Rattus norvegicus: one gene and its partners. The protein of the gene in region 3 interacts with the protein of the main gene of each other region in a biochemical or structural test. Links are inferred from orthologs where the notes say so. Each region holds a gene or a part of one and is shown on either strand. Other genes may lie near its edges.

Region 1 (4,640 bases), on a different chromosome or scaffold from region 3:
GTTCTCAGATAATAGATTGCCCTATTATTTAATCAATTTAGATTTTTGGTTGTTTTTTTTTTTAACAACTTTAGGGTTACAGCAGCACACATCCTACTGCCCCTACAGCCAAGTGTTAGCCTAAGGGAAATACTCCTTTCTGATCAGTAAGTTAAACGTTTATTAGATTTGGTCTGCAAATTAATAGAGTAGAGGTATCTGCTACATTACTAATAGCAGTGAATGGGCTTTTAAAGGCACATGCTTTTGCTGGTGGCAGCTCAGTTATGAGTCTGAATATTTCTGTATAAGACCTCCTGCTTCCCCTTCCTCTGCATCTCCCATGTGCTACAGTGTTGTGACTAGAGTAGGCATCAGTGAATCCATTTTAGAACTCTGGGTATTAATTTTACTCATCCGGTATCTTCCACATTTATCGGAGTGCTGATCGCGTAGCGAGCACTGCATACATATTTGGTGACATTTATAATATATTCATCTTTGATTAGATACAACTTCTTCTTCTTCTTGTATTTATTTACTTACTGGGGTGGGGCATTGCATGGCTCAGCGTACAATCACCAATCAGAGCATAACTGTTGGGAATAAGTTCTTTTCTTCCACACATGGGTTCCAGGGATCAAACCCAAGTCACCAGATTGACGGCGAGCATCCTCACCTACTGAGCCATCTCACCAGCACGGACAGAACATTCTTAGGTAACACCAGCAGCAGCAATGCGGTTTTATGGGTAGGCTCGGCCGATGGGGCTATTCCCTTTCTATTTTGTACCCTATATATAACTTTGCATTGGTTTAAGATAAAAATTCTACCCTCCTACATAATGTATGCCAGCATCAGAGCACATCTCTGCAATCTATAATGCCTACTTAGAATTCAGATAAAAATCCACAATACCTTTGTAACTTCAGAAGAGAGGTGAGAATGGGTATCTTTGAGTCGGGAAATGGAGCTGTGACTAAGGCCACCAACCACAGCCATCAAGGTGTTAAAATTTTTTAGTTGAAGGAGTTTCTGGAAAAAAAAAAACAACAAGCAAACAAAAACCATTAACACTAATACTTGGTAAGGATTTTGAAAAATTGTTTTGAATTTCTCAAATTACAGGAACACAAGCACAATTTTAATAACAAGAATATAGAGAAAAACAATATATTGGTTTAAGATTAAATGAAAGTTGAATTCTCTAAAAATACAATACCAGTCATTAACACAATCAAGTGCTTCTAAGCATTGTCTTTTAGAAACAATCTTGCTATGTGAGAGGAATGTAGTTTATTCATTAGATAGCCATGCATGGTTTAATAGTCCAGTGCCGTTCTATTGCTAACACCAATTTCCTCAACAACTTTTCTCAATACAATTAATGAAATATACAGAATTCCCAACCCTGGTCTGATTGTGATGAGCGCAAACCTGTGCTACATTGATGAACTTTGTGATGACTTCCGCCCTTTGTTGAGCACTTGGTTTGCTAAGAACCATCAATTGGACCCACTTAGAGATTCCATTAAATAAGGCAATAGATCTCTCCAATGTCGGGTTATTCTCCAGGCAGCCATGAATGACGTAGCTCTGATAATCTGTGAACTGGGAAAAGAACAACGAGAGATTCTGAACTACAATGGACTTTTCACAATATTGAACTTTACCCAGTTGGATAAAAGTAGTAAGCTAGCCTTTCATAACAACATGGCGATTTCTTCCATTTTGCATTTATAAAGGTTTCTTTCAAGTTCAATCCTATATGCCTCTAACAGGCTATCTTACTACATTTCAAAACTCAGATACAAACACACAAATCACTGTGCTTTAGAGGAGGCGGAAGAAGGGGAAAAATGTAAAGTTATATTCCAGAGAATTCCAAGCTTACTGAACCCTAAGATCTATGTAGCCCATTATCCCAGGAAAATTAATGAATCAGACAGGTCCAGTATTTCTACAAAAGAACTAGGATTGCCATTTTCAGTTATACCAGTGACGCCAAAGAACAAGCACATTTAAGACACAATGGCACACATTAAAGAACAGGAAATGGATGGAATATAATACTCTCAAAAAAAAAACAATAAGCTTCTAGTATTTCAAGGGGAAAGGGGAGAAAAGAAAAAATTGCTTTAAAAAATAGAAGGAAATAAATCCATGTTCTAGCCAACAGTCATCTTGCTTCTTGGTGTGATTTACGTCAGGGTCCTTGGGAAGGGTTGATTTCACCTGAGTGCGTGAGATACATCAAAGTAACTGCTTGATGGAAGTAATATAAAGCAGTAGATCGTGACAAGGGTGGCTTGCTAAGACTGTAGCTGAGGAAGGAAGGAGAACAGAAGGGAAAAGGAGAAGAGAAAAGATGCATAGGGCGGAAAGTCTAAGTCAGGACTTCCATCTCTGAGAAAGAGACCGTCTAATGTTGAGACCTCCTCAAAGCCTACAACTCTTAATTCTCCACCTATTTTCATAGTTAGGCATTGTATAGATACTAAAGTAAGTTAACTCACTCCCAACCCTCACCGCCATAAATAAAAGGTCCAGCAAAACTGTTCACTTGGAGGAGTTCATTCAAACTAAATAAACGTTGAATGGTTAAGTCTCTGCTGAATATTTAGAAAAATCATGCTTTAATTCTATGAAAGGAGACATTGAACATAGCGGCAGAAATATAGCTCCTGAGCCATAAACTAAAGACAGGATAATATTTATATTTGGTTAAAAAGGATTGTTCTTGTGAATTGAGGGCACATTTCCAACAGAGTCCACTGGCAGAGGCTGCCAACCCTTGGGAGTATGAACACATAGCTCTTGGGAAAGTTGGCACGTTGCTTGTTACCCTTGGAAGAATAACCGTCAAGTTCCTTACCGAGATCCTTCTAAAAGATTTATGCTCCAGAAAAGTGAGGTGCTCAGCCAATTCAATGGGCTCCAGATGGTCAAATAAGAGACAGGCCTTTCCCCTTTTTGATACTTTTTTCCTCTGCGTGACTCTCCTCATCCAGTCATAGGAAGGACTGTGAAAGAAGAACAAGTCTGGTCAGCGTGCCGAAAATGCATTTCACTCAGTGGAAGATATTAACCTACTGACTAACTCTTGGCCTACTGCCAGAAGCATGTGTGAAATACAGGCCCTGTCCTCCATATTTGAAGAGAAAACCATCCACCCTTTGCCAAGAGACTTGAAGTTGTTTTGTCTAGGCACGATAGGTTTGCCCTGATCCATCCTAAATCTCTCACTTGATACTTCTTGTGACCAAGCAAGATCCGAACTCTAAAGAAAAGATCAGGGTTAGGCCTATAAAATCAGAAGTTTGTTGGCATATAGATGGTGATTCAAAGCTCTTGGAAACAGCCAGGATTTCGTTTTTCACACCTGAACATCATATGGATTATCTGGAAAACTCATTATAAAGACAAAGGCCTATATCTCACTTCCAGAGACTTTGATTTACTAGAAATGAACCTGAATGACAGGCATTGTAAACAAGCATCCCTGGTGAATCCTGGGTCATTTATTATCAGATTTGAAGAAACATTCCAGGCAAAGAGAATACCTAAGACAGAAAATATGTTTATTTGACATAGATCTGTAATCCTAACACTCAGGAAGCCAAGACAGGAAAAAATCATCAAAAATTCAATGACAATTTAGGTTACATATTGAATTTCAGACCAGCCTGCGATAGAATATATAATTGGAATATGGACAATCACACTTAGGGTCAAAACACTTTCCCTGGCAGAGTTAGCTGGTCTGTATTAAATGAGTCTAATTAGTATTAAGTCCCTAATGAAATAACCAGTCAGGGATACAACTATGGTCAACATTTGTGGAACTTCAGGTGAGCCTCTGAAGCACTAAGGTAGTGAGCGCCTCAGACCTAAAGGCAAGTATGAATCACAAGGAGATCTTGTTAAGGCATAAATCCCAATCCAAGGGCTTAGGCAAGACCCAAGACTATTTTCTGATGGAGTCCTAGGAGAAACCAGTGTGGTGATCTGAGTAGCTAAGGCATAGGAGAAATTGACTAAATTCAGAGTTAAGAAGTAAGTATTCAGTATCTACTGTGTGCCAAATTTTCTTGGGTTCTCTTGTGTACTTTTAAAACATATAACGATCCCACAAAGATGCCATGCCATTTTCCAAACAAACTACAGCTTGGAGAGATAGAGTGTATCTGGTATAGCTGTGTTCATTGTAGTCAGGCTATCTCCAAAGAAGGAGCTTCCTTCTAGAACAGTAGTGATTCCAGTCAAGCAGGGTCATTACTACCCTTTCCCCAAAGCAGTGAACCCACAGAGATCAAAAGACTAGTGCCACTCTTACATGCTGGATATGTCCATGAGGTTGCTGTGTTTCTCATATCCTAGTTGACTAGCTACTTCCCGGAACTCCTCAGTCATGCGAATCAAACCAAGATCCAAATTAAACTCTGCAGGAAATTTTGTAATCCAGTACCTGAAAGGTATAGAAAGGACTTTTGTCAGCTGGAAGGTTTCACTTGGTCCACACTTGGAGACTATTCTATAAACTGAATATAACACTGAGTTTAGTACCATATTTCCAAGTTGACAACTCTTATCCCCAGTAATCCTGATGTGAGTCTTTCTGTTCCTTCAAGAACCAAGATCCTGCAAACCCTAACTTCTTC
Region 2 (4,122 bases), on a different chromosome or scaffold from region 3:
ACCTAGCTTGGTCCAGCTCTGGGTCCCACATGTTGGAGTATGGAGTGTGTGGAGATTATTTAATGCAACCTTTTCCACCCCTACTCAACCCGTCATTTCTGAGGCTGGAGGGTTTGGGCAAAACACTCCCATGTTTTGGTGCAGACCAGCTAAGTTTTAGAGGCTCTGTGGGAAGTCAGACTGGGCAAAAGGGTAGTGCTGTGTAAAGTCTACTTTTCTTGGGGAAGTAGGAATTCTTAAGCTTTCCTTCCACCCCCAATTTCTACCTCCATAGACTGGCCAGAATTTAGCTTCAGTGAGATCTGGAATGGTCAGCATGACATCTCTACCATTACCCAATAAATTATTTTCTCTGTGCATCTTAGTTTTTTTCGTTAGGTAGGAGCCCAAGTCTTCACTGCCAGGCTCTCTTCCCTTTTCAGTGAGGTTTCTGGCCTCTCCATGCCTTTTAGTTACATGTGGTTAGCCCTGTTAGGGGAGCTCGGGACAGGGGTCTGGATCCTTGGGAGACTGTTGGGTATAATCTATTTTTCTAGTAACCCCTTGCCTTCTGACACAGCAACAGCTTTTGTCCTCTGCTTTGGTGGCTGAGGTCAGTCCATGTTCTTGGGGAGGGAAAGTGGGTTGTATTGCAAAAAATAAAAAAAGTGTTTATTTGCTTCTTTTGTGGACTCTATGTTTTCTGATAGAACTGTCTCTAAGTGCATTTTGCCTTGCAACATGCAGAACCAGCTCAGGTTTTCACACTTGCTCCATTCAGGATCAGGTTTCTGGTTATCAGCAGCCTGGGATTGAGGTTCCAGGTCTGCTCTGAATTGCTATGTTTGCATATGAATATGAGGTGATGAGGCCTACCCACTAGAATTAGTAAAAAAAAAAATAAAAACTTCCAGAATTACAGAAGACCAAGTTGATTTTTACCTATTAGTGATATGGACAGCTGATGTGTTTACTCATTTCTTTCAAGACCCAATCTCAAAAGATGTTTCAGTGGTTCAGAGCATGGGGTGCTCTTGTAAAACAGGGCTCAGCTCCCAGGACTCACATATAGAGGCCAATTTCAGAAAGCCAGTTTATTTCTAAGAGTCTGTCATAAACTTTTAGCGGGTACCAATAGTCACCTGCCATACACGCACCAAGTTGTCGGTATAGCCAGCAAACAGAGTCTGTAAGAAAACAACAACAGGGTCATGTCGCACCCAGCAATGAACTCTGTAGTCCAAAGAATTTAGGGCCCCTCTTTCATGTTAAAAGCAGCTTGCTACACATTCAGACATTTTTAAGCTTCCAGGTTTAAAAACTCCATTACCATAATCTTTTCCCATCCTAAATTAACCTGATTTGATTTCATTTTATGTTGACCTTAGTTTTGTGCCTAAACTTAAGAAAAAGGGAGACAAGCTGGGGAACTGAGCTGAAGGGCCAAATACACTTACCTGGCCATCAGCAGACCAAGCCAAAGAGGTACACTGGGGTGGCTCTGCCTTGCTGCTGGTGCTGATAACCTCTTGCTTCAGTTCATCTACAATGATCTTGCCCTCCAAGTCCTGAGGAACAGACCAAAACCCATAAGGACACCCACTACTCAAATAACAACTCTTAGAATCGTTTCAATAGAACTAGCAAGATGGCATTCCATGGGAAAGCTCCTTGCTTGGCAACTTAAGTTTCACCCAGAAACAACTGAGAAAAATTTGCCTATGGGCAGGCTAGCTGGGACTCACATGTATATAACCAGACAACGAACTTTTTTTTTTAAAGTTTACAACTCAGATTTCTGTCTAAAAGGGTTATTTTTCTTTCAAGGATATATTGAGTATTGGCCCTATACTCCACTAGCAAAAATCAATCATCAGGTCCTGATGACTCAGGCTTATAATCTGAGCTACCTGGGAGATTGAGGCAAGATTGCCAACTTACTGCAAATGACTTCTCTTTAAATAGGTGTGCACCACCCATCCACCAACAAAAATGTGCTTTACCAACTAAAAAGGGTGCCACTTTTACCTTGGAAAGGCTACCAATGTGTAAGGCGCAAAATCAAAAGGGATTCAAAACAGTTAAAGTTAAATGCTATTTATACACACTACCAACAGTTCAATATAGTAGTGCATACTCTTAATTCTACCCTCAGGAGATTAAGAGGCAGGCTATTATCTGTGATCTCCCTGAGGCCAGTCTACACAGTATGAACTTGTCTTTTAGTTTAGAAATCCTGTGACAAAGATTACAGAATTGAATCCAAGTGGATACTTAGCAGCACAGGAAGGACTTTTCTAAAATGTTGCGAGGAATTGAATTTGGATGCTCTACTGCATACAATGCTCTACACTTGTTGCCTTCATGATTTATGGCAGCTGCTTAACTCCTAATTATCTGGTGGCTAGATGCCACCTGCACTGTCAAAAAAGCCTCTCACAAGAGAATTACCTTGGCCCAAATGGCAATTAGAACACTCAATAAACTGCTGCTATACATGGGCATTACTTTTCATTAGGCAGATGTCAGCCATTGTTGCAAACTGTTAAGGGGGGTGCTGATAGCAACCTAAAGATGGTATCTGAGAAAGGTTGATTTCTACTAGTCAAGTCAATGACTATGCGCAACAGACCACTTACCCAGATCTTGATACTGGGGCCAGTGGCAGCACAGAGCCAGTAGCGGTTGGGGCTGAAGCACAAGGCATTGATGATGTCTCCACCATCTAATGTGTAAAGGTGCTTGCCTTCATTGAGATCCCACAGCATAGCCTGGCCATCCTGGGCAGATAGAAAAGGTTGAGTTAGGTATAGTGTTCATGGCTCTAAGTCCTTTCTTCTAATGCACGATACCTTTCTGTGCCAAAACCCCAACTTAAAAAGCAATCATCTTTAATATACTTTTCTACATATTTCAAGGTAGTACTTAGAAACTTTCCCACTTTAGTGCATGCTACCAGAGAAAAGCCTCTGGAAAGGAGAGGACAAGCCCCAAATACCTTGCCTCCAGAAGCACAGAGGGATCCATCTGGAGAGACAGTCACTGTGTTCAGATAGCCAGTGTGGCCAATGTGGTTGGTCTTTAGCTTGCAGTTAGCCAGATTCCACACCTACAAAACAGGACTCCGTGGGTGACCAGGACAAAGGTCTACACTCAACAAGAAGGGTACAGGGATCACTCAACAGGCATGCTGTGCAGGCCTATACAGTCCCAATACTTCAATGACTGAGATTGTTTGGATGGCAGGCCAGTAAGGGATACAGAATGAAACCAGGCCTCAAAAACAAACCACATCCCTAAAGTATTGAGATCAACCACCAAAAGCCACAGCCAAACTAATCTTCAGAATATCCCAAGTCAGAACGCATTATTCCCCGAGAGGAATGGCAACGTATTTCCCTTGCAAGCATACCTTGACCAGCTTGTCCCATCCGCAGGAGACGATGATAGGGTTGCTGCTGTTCGGGGAGAAGCGGACACAAGACACCCATTCTGAATGACTCTCATCCTACAAAGATGCAGGGGAAGGTTAAGAGGCGGCAGCTTATCTGTAAAGAGATCCGATGCCCTCTTCTGGTGTGTCTGAGGACAGCTACAGTGTACTTATATATAATAAATGAATGGATCTTTAAAAAAAAAAAAGAGGCGGCAGCTTTTCCCAGATTACAGATCTCTACTACACTTCCCTAAGAGGGGCAACGGCACTCCTGCACTCCCTTCTCAGAAGCACAATCTTTAGGCCAACAGACCAGGGGCAAAGCCACCTGTCAAGCCTGCTGACATTTGAGTCCTAAGGTGACCCCAGAGCTCACCCACTCATTACTCATGGAGCACAGGACCAGGCACAGCTCAGAAACAGCCTCTGGATTTCAGCAAAGCAACTCAGATGGCATGTTGTGGTCATCACTGTTGGGCCTGGCTTGTAACCCCTCAAACACATCTCTAGGAGATAGGTGAGAGACTTAAGATCATTTAAACCTTAGGGCAGTTATGAGAGACATCTGGGTATCTGCTCATGTGCCAAGACCCTGCCCAACTGATGCCGTGGTTTGGGTTTCCACAGCTCAACCTAATATGGGATTAAAGGGGGAAAAGAAGGCCTTTTAACCCCAGCAGTCTGGAAGCACATGATCTCATGCAGGT
Region 3 (4,640 bases):
AAGTGTGGGTCCTCCTTGTTCAAAGGGAACGTTTTTCTTTGAAATAGGTTTTCTTCTTTCCTTCCTTCCTTCTTTCCTTCCTTTCTTTCTCTTTCTCTTTTTCTTTCTTTTTTCTCCTTCTTTCTTTCTTTCTTTCTCTTTCTCTCTCTTTCTTTCTTTCTTTTTTTATATTGTATCTTGATGCTAGGAGAAAATTATCAGAACAGATACCGAAGTGCAAATAAACATTCCCACAAACATCTTGCAAAATGACATCAAACTGAAGAATGCACCCATCATGGTTTGGAGAGATGGTGTCTTTCTCAGAGCACACAATTACTTCTCCAACACCAGTGGTATATCTAGACAAGTCCCCACCCCACAGGCAGAACTCTGCTGGGTTCCATAGCCGTCTTCTTGGTTGAACAAAGCAGGGCATTATGGTTAATAACATCTGGACACAGATTTTAAAGCATGTGTAACAAAGTGAGTAATTTTTTTCTTTTTCTTTCTTTTTTTTCTTTTTGCATTTCAATGATGACAGAAATTAAAAAAAAAAGCAAGTAACATTTGAAATGTAATGTAGAATCAGGGTCCTTTAGGACCTTGCTAGAGTGACCATGTGGTTCTAAGAACAGTGCCAAATGTCATTCTGGAGTAGTTTGGGGGATGAGGGTACCACTATCAGACACACAGTATTAGAAACTACAGCAAGGTGACAGCACACAAGCTGGTTGCCTTCGACCCTGGAAGTGCTTTTAGATGGAAACTTGTCTAAAAGCGCATTCCTTTTTTCCCCAGGACTTAGATAATCTTCTTAACATTGAGTTAAAAAAATAAAAATAAATTTTTATTTTTAGCATGTTCTTTTCAAAGCTCCACTGCCTCCAGAACAGGCAGCGTGGAGGGATTCCCTCTAGGGCAAAGCAGCCATATACTTGGATTCAAGCCAAGCTCCCAGCCGGGAAGGTGGAAGAATGTTGCTAGCATTTGGCTCGTCTATCCATTTTGTAGGAAGGATGTAGACTGGGGGTCAGGGTAAAAATGGCAGTGCAGAGGACCAGGGAGAAAAGCAAGCATTTTCTCTCCCCTGGGGGCCTGTGAGCCGACATGCTAGGGATGCACATAGTAGGGCTCTGAGCGTGTCTCGATTATGCAGCACTTTCTACATGCCACCTGCATAATTCCATCTCCTCGAGATGCTCCAAACTACTTGAGGACATTTGGGTTCTGAAACATGGCCACTCTAGCCTCATCAGAAAAGAAAACACGGATGTAACTTGGCAATGGAAAAGAAAAAAAATGTCACCATGATAGCTGTTGAGCTTGAATGACAGAAATGAAGGACGGAGGTCTACAGATCTACTTAGCTCTTGACTTCGGGTTTTAAAAATTCAGAGTTAACAAAGGAAAATCCTTCGAATTCTGATTGGTCAATATTCCTGATGACTTCCTGGTCAGGAGGTGTTAGGACTGGTGGATGGCGGGTGAAAAACCGGTCGAAGTTTTCAGCGTTTCGCCCACACTATGAGAGGGGGAGAAAAGAACTTGTGGTGGGTGGAAAAAAAACAAAACAAAAATAAAAGCCAAAATAAAACAGAACTGAACGGAACCGGGTGTGGTTTTTCTCCAATCCCTTCCCTTCCGGAAACGCAGAGAGGCTGTTTCAATGATCCGAAATGAGAGCAATGTAAAATGCAAAATTCTCATGACCTTTGCTACACGACCTTGGGCTCCCAGCTTTTGGGTGCTGAATCTCTCAGGTCACTCCTGGTTTCCTTTTGGGAAGTCAGGAAAGGTACACCAAAGGCATGAGGAGGTGGGGCTAGCAGCATGTGGCATGTCCCCACCGAGTCACCCACCCCCAATGAGTCAGACAAGGCCATCTGTTGAAAGACATGAGATTAAGGTACTTCCCATCTTTAATGGGTGTCAGATGTCAAATAATGACATTCATACATCACCTGGAGAGCTCAACATTTATAGCAGCAGATCCCTTAAAGTGCCATCCTGCTGCTCTTGATCAGGAACTATAGTTGCTTCTAGCTCAACAGAATATAGTTTTCAAAATCAGCCAATGGAGGAAGAACCCAAACATAAGCTCTCAGTGTCACCACAAAGTCCCAGATAGCTGGATTAATCATTGGCCCTTAATTACAAGGTTCCAGAAGGTAAAATCACTCTCTCTCTCTCCAAATAGGAAGACCTGGTGTGGAAGGAAATTCGCATGCACACGCTAAACTCCTGCCCAAGGAGAGAGATGAACTACTATATCAGAGTTCTTGCTCTTGTTGCGTTCCCAGCATAGCCCATGTGCACAGACACCCTCAGGATTCTAGTGTTTACAGGAGGCGTTGCCGTTTGAATGTTCAGTGTCTCCCATATGTGTGAGGGTTCAGACACTTGCTCCTCAGCTGATAACATTGTTTTGGAAAGTTGTGACAGGCTTAAGAGGCGGAGCTTTGCTGGAGGAAGTGAGTTATTAGATGCAAGCTATGAGGTATCATACTCCGGCCATACTTCCTGTGTGCTCACTGCGTCCTAGCCACTGATGGGCTGTGACCAGCCACCGCACACTCCTGCTGCTTATCAGATATTTGATCGCGACGATGAGGAAAGTAAGTTATGCAGGAGGCAACATCAATCTAATTCTATTACAGTATCAGTCATAATAATGGTGGGTGATCTGTATTGTGTGTTTGCCACAGCTGGGCCCCCGGCACAAGACTTCACCCACATTATCTCTCAATGGCCTTAGGGAGTATATCATTACTGTGACTTTATTGAATGTGGAGTTCTATGTTTGAGGAACTGGTCTCCAGCTGCAGGTACTAACTTTAGAGGTTACAGAAACTTTGGGATTGTGGCTTAGCGAGTGGAAGTGGGTCACTGGGGGATTGAGGGCAGGCCTTGAAAGTGAGATACACTTCTGCTTAGGTCTCCACACTCTGCCTCCAGCCCACCATGATGTGACCAGCTACCTCACACTGCTGCTGCCGTGTCTTCCACATCAAGGTGAGCCAATATCCTCAGGAACTGTGGGTCGAAACAGACCTTTCCTCCCTTAAACTGCTTCCACCAGGGATTTAACATGGTATCAGAAAAAGGAACTGGGGTTGGGGATTTAGCTCAGTAGTAGAGCGCTTGCCTAGCAAGCCCAAGGCCCTGGGTTCAGTCCCCAGCTCCGGAAAAAAAAGAAAAAGGAACTAATGCAAATATTATCTCCCATTTCATAGATGTGGAAACTAAGGCCAGGAAATCAACTCCCCAAGGTCAAACTGCTAGCAATCACAGTGCGGGATGTGGAGCTGGATCCACCTACGGTGAGAGCCATGTTCTCTGCCCCCACGTTTACTAAGACAGCTGGTACAAAGTGGTAGACTGGAAGGTGTGGTGGGGCAGAATTGTGAGTGAAACCGTGGGTGCTGAGGTCTCTGCTTTGATTGACAGAGAATATGGTTCTCTCAACAGCAGGGCCAGGATGTGGGAAAATTCAGAAAGATGGTGATTTCCGTTTTGAGATATCATGGTTTTGAGAGGCCAGCACCCGTCTAGCTGAGAACCAGAGGGAGTCAGGTGTTGTTGGGCTCTGGGGAGAGAACTTGAAAAGAAACCTTTCAAATTGGCACACTGAGGAAGACATGGTGGATAATAACAAGAATGACCACCAGCCACTTCCCATGCAGCTGGCATGCACCGCATGGCTTTGTTCACGGCACCCTTTAAATCCATAAGGATAATCCTTCTAGGCACAGGTTTTCCTCCTACTGCCAATGATTAAACTTCCATCAACACTGTCTTAGAGCAAGCAGGGGAACCAGGAGAGAGCAACTCAGATATGCTAAGGACTGAGAGAAGCCACTTTGGGCAGATGCACTTTGGGCAGGAAAGTTTGCTGAAAAGGAGCCATTGAATTTGGCCTCTGAGAGCGAGCAGAAGGGACACTGGGGACTGTCACTGAGCTCCTGTCATCAGGAGAGTGAAGAGTCTCCACAGAGCCTTCGCAAAAGGGATGGGATGGGCACTCTGAGGAAGCCAGAGCTGAACAGAAGAGAGCTCTGGGTTCTGTGCCCTGCAACAGGGATCAGAACCTTGGCATCTGATTGCTTACTGGCTGAACAACTCCGAGGACATTTCCTCTTGTGTAAAACAGGGACAACTGTGGGTCTTCTCATGTGGGGTTGTGGTGATAACAACATGAAGTGACATGTGTGACAAGGGCCTGGAACTGTTTTCTTGTTTCCTTTGTGAGTCATCCCCGCAGTGCATGCTTCTGACAGGGGTTAGTTCCGAGCTACTCAAGTTTTAAATCCCGAAGACACAGGCTTGAGGTTTTAAAGCTCTTGTTAAAGCTCACATCTTTGTGAGGCTGGAAAGACGACTGAGTTCGTAAAGAGCTTGTCACTCAAGCATGAGGGTCTGAGCTCTATACCCAAGCACCTACATAAAAACCCAGGCACAGTGGAGGGGGCCTGTCATCTCAGCTGCTGGCCAGGCTGCTTCAAAAAATAGAATAGGAAGCTGTTCAGCAAGACATCCTGCTAGATCAACCTTTGAACTCCATATGCACACACATACATGTGCACTTGTGTACCAAAGCACCACACACACACATCACACACACACACACACTCTCTCTCTCTCACATACACACACATACA

The links. The genes of interacting proteins can lie anywhere in the genome.
Region 1: of the proteins of Prkcb (region 3) and Rasgrp3, one has a biochemical effect on the other in vitro, tested with the Homo sapiens proteins (2 studies listed by BioGRID). The link is inferred for Rattus norvegicus from reciprocal best matches to the Homo sapiens genes PRKCB and RASGRP3.
Region 2: the proteins of Prkcb (region 3) and Rack1 form a complex in vitro, tested with the Homo sapiens proteins (2 studies listed by BioGRID). The link is inferred for Rattus norvegicus from reciprocal best matches to the Homo sapiens genes PRKCB and RACK1.

Annotation. Positions count from the first base shown.
Region 1 is NC_086024.1:25,675,614-25,680,253, forward strand, and holds part of Rasgrp3 (ras guanyl-releasing protein 3), read right to left. Parts: intron 4,448-4,640; coding exon 4,316-4,447; intron 3,003-4,315; coding exon 2,855-3,002; intron 1,591-2,854; coding exon 1,417-1,590; intron 1,015-1,416; coding exon 898-1,014; intron 1-897. UniProt on the Homo sapiens protein: Guanine nucleotide exchange factor (GEF) for Ras and Rap1.
Region 2 is NC_086028.1:33,672,888-33,677,009, reverse strand, and holds the end of Rack1 (small ribosomal subunit protein RACK1), read right to left. Parts: intron 3,893-4,122; exon of another isoform or gene 3,825-3,892; intron 3,488-3,824; coding exon 3,392-3,487; intron 3,089-3,391; coding exon 2,978-3,088; intron 2,760-2,977; coding exon 2,619-2,759; intron 1,548-2,618; coding exon 1,437-1,547; coding exon of another isoform or gene 1,353-1,436; exon of another isoform or gene 1,167-1,352; coding exon 1,101-1,166; 3' UTR 979-1,100; downstream 1-978. UniProt on the Homo sapiens protein: Scaffolding protein involved in the recruitment, assembly and/or regulation of a variety of signaling molecules. Interacts with a wide variety of proteins and plays a role in many cellular processes.
Region 3 is NC_086019.1:186,584,798-186,589,437, reverse strand, and holds the end of Prkcb (protein kinase C beta type), read right to left. Parts: intron 3,303-4,640; exon of another isoform or gene 3,216-3,302; intron 2,995-3,215; exon of another isoform or gene 2,871-2,994; intron 1,505-2,870; coding exon 1,346-1,504; 3' UTR 488-1,345; downstream 1-487. UniProt on the Homo sapiens protein: Calcium-activated, phospholipid- and diacylglycerol (DAG)-dependent serine/threonine-protein kinase involved in various cellular processes such as regulation of the B-cell receptor (BCR) signalosome, oxidative stress-induced apoptosis, androgen receptor-dependent transcription regulation, insulin signaling and endothelial cells proliferation.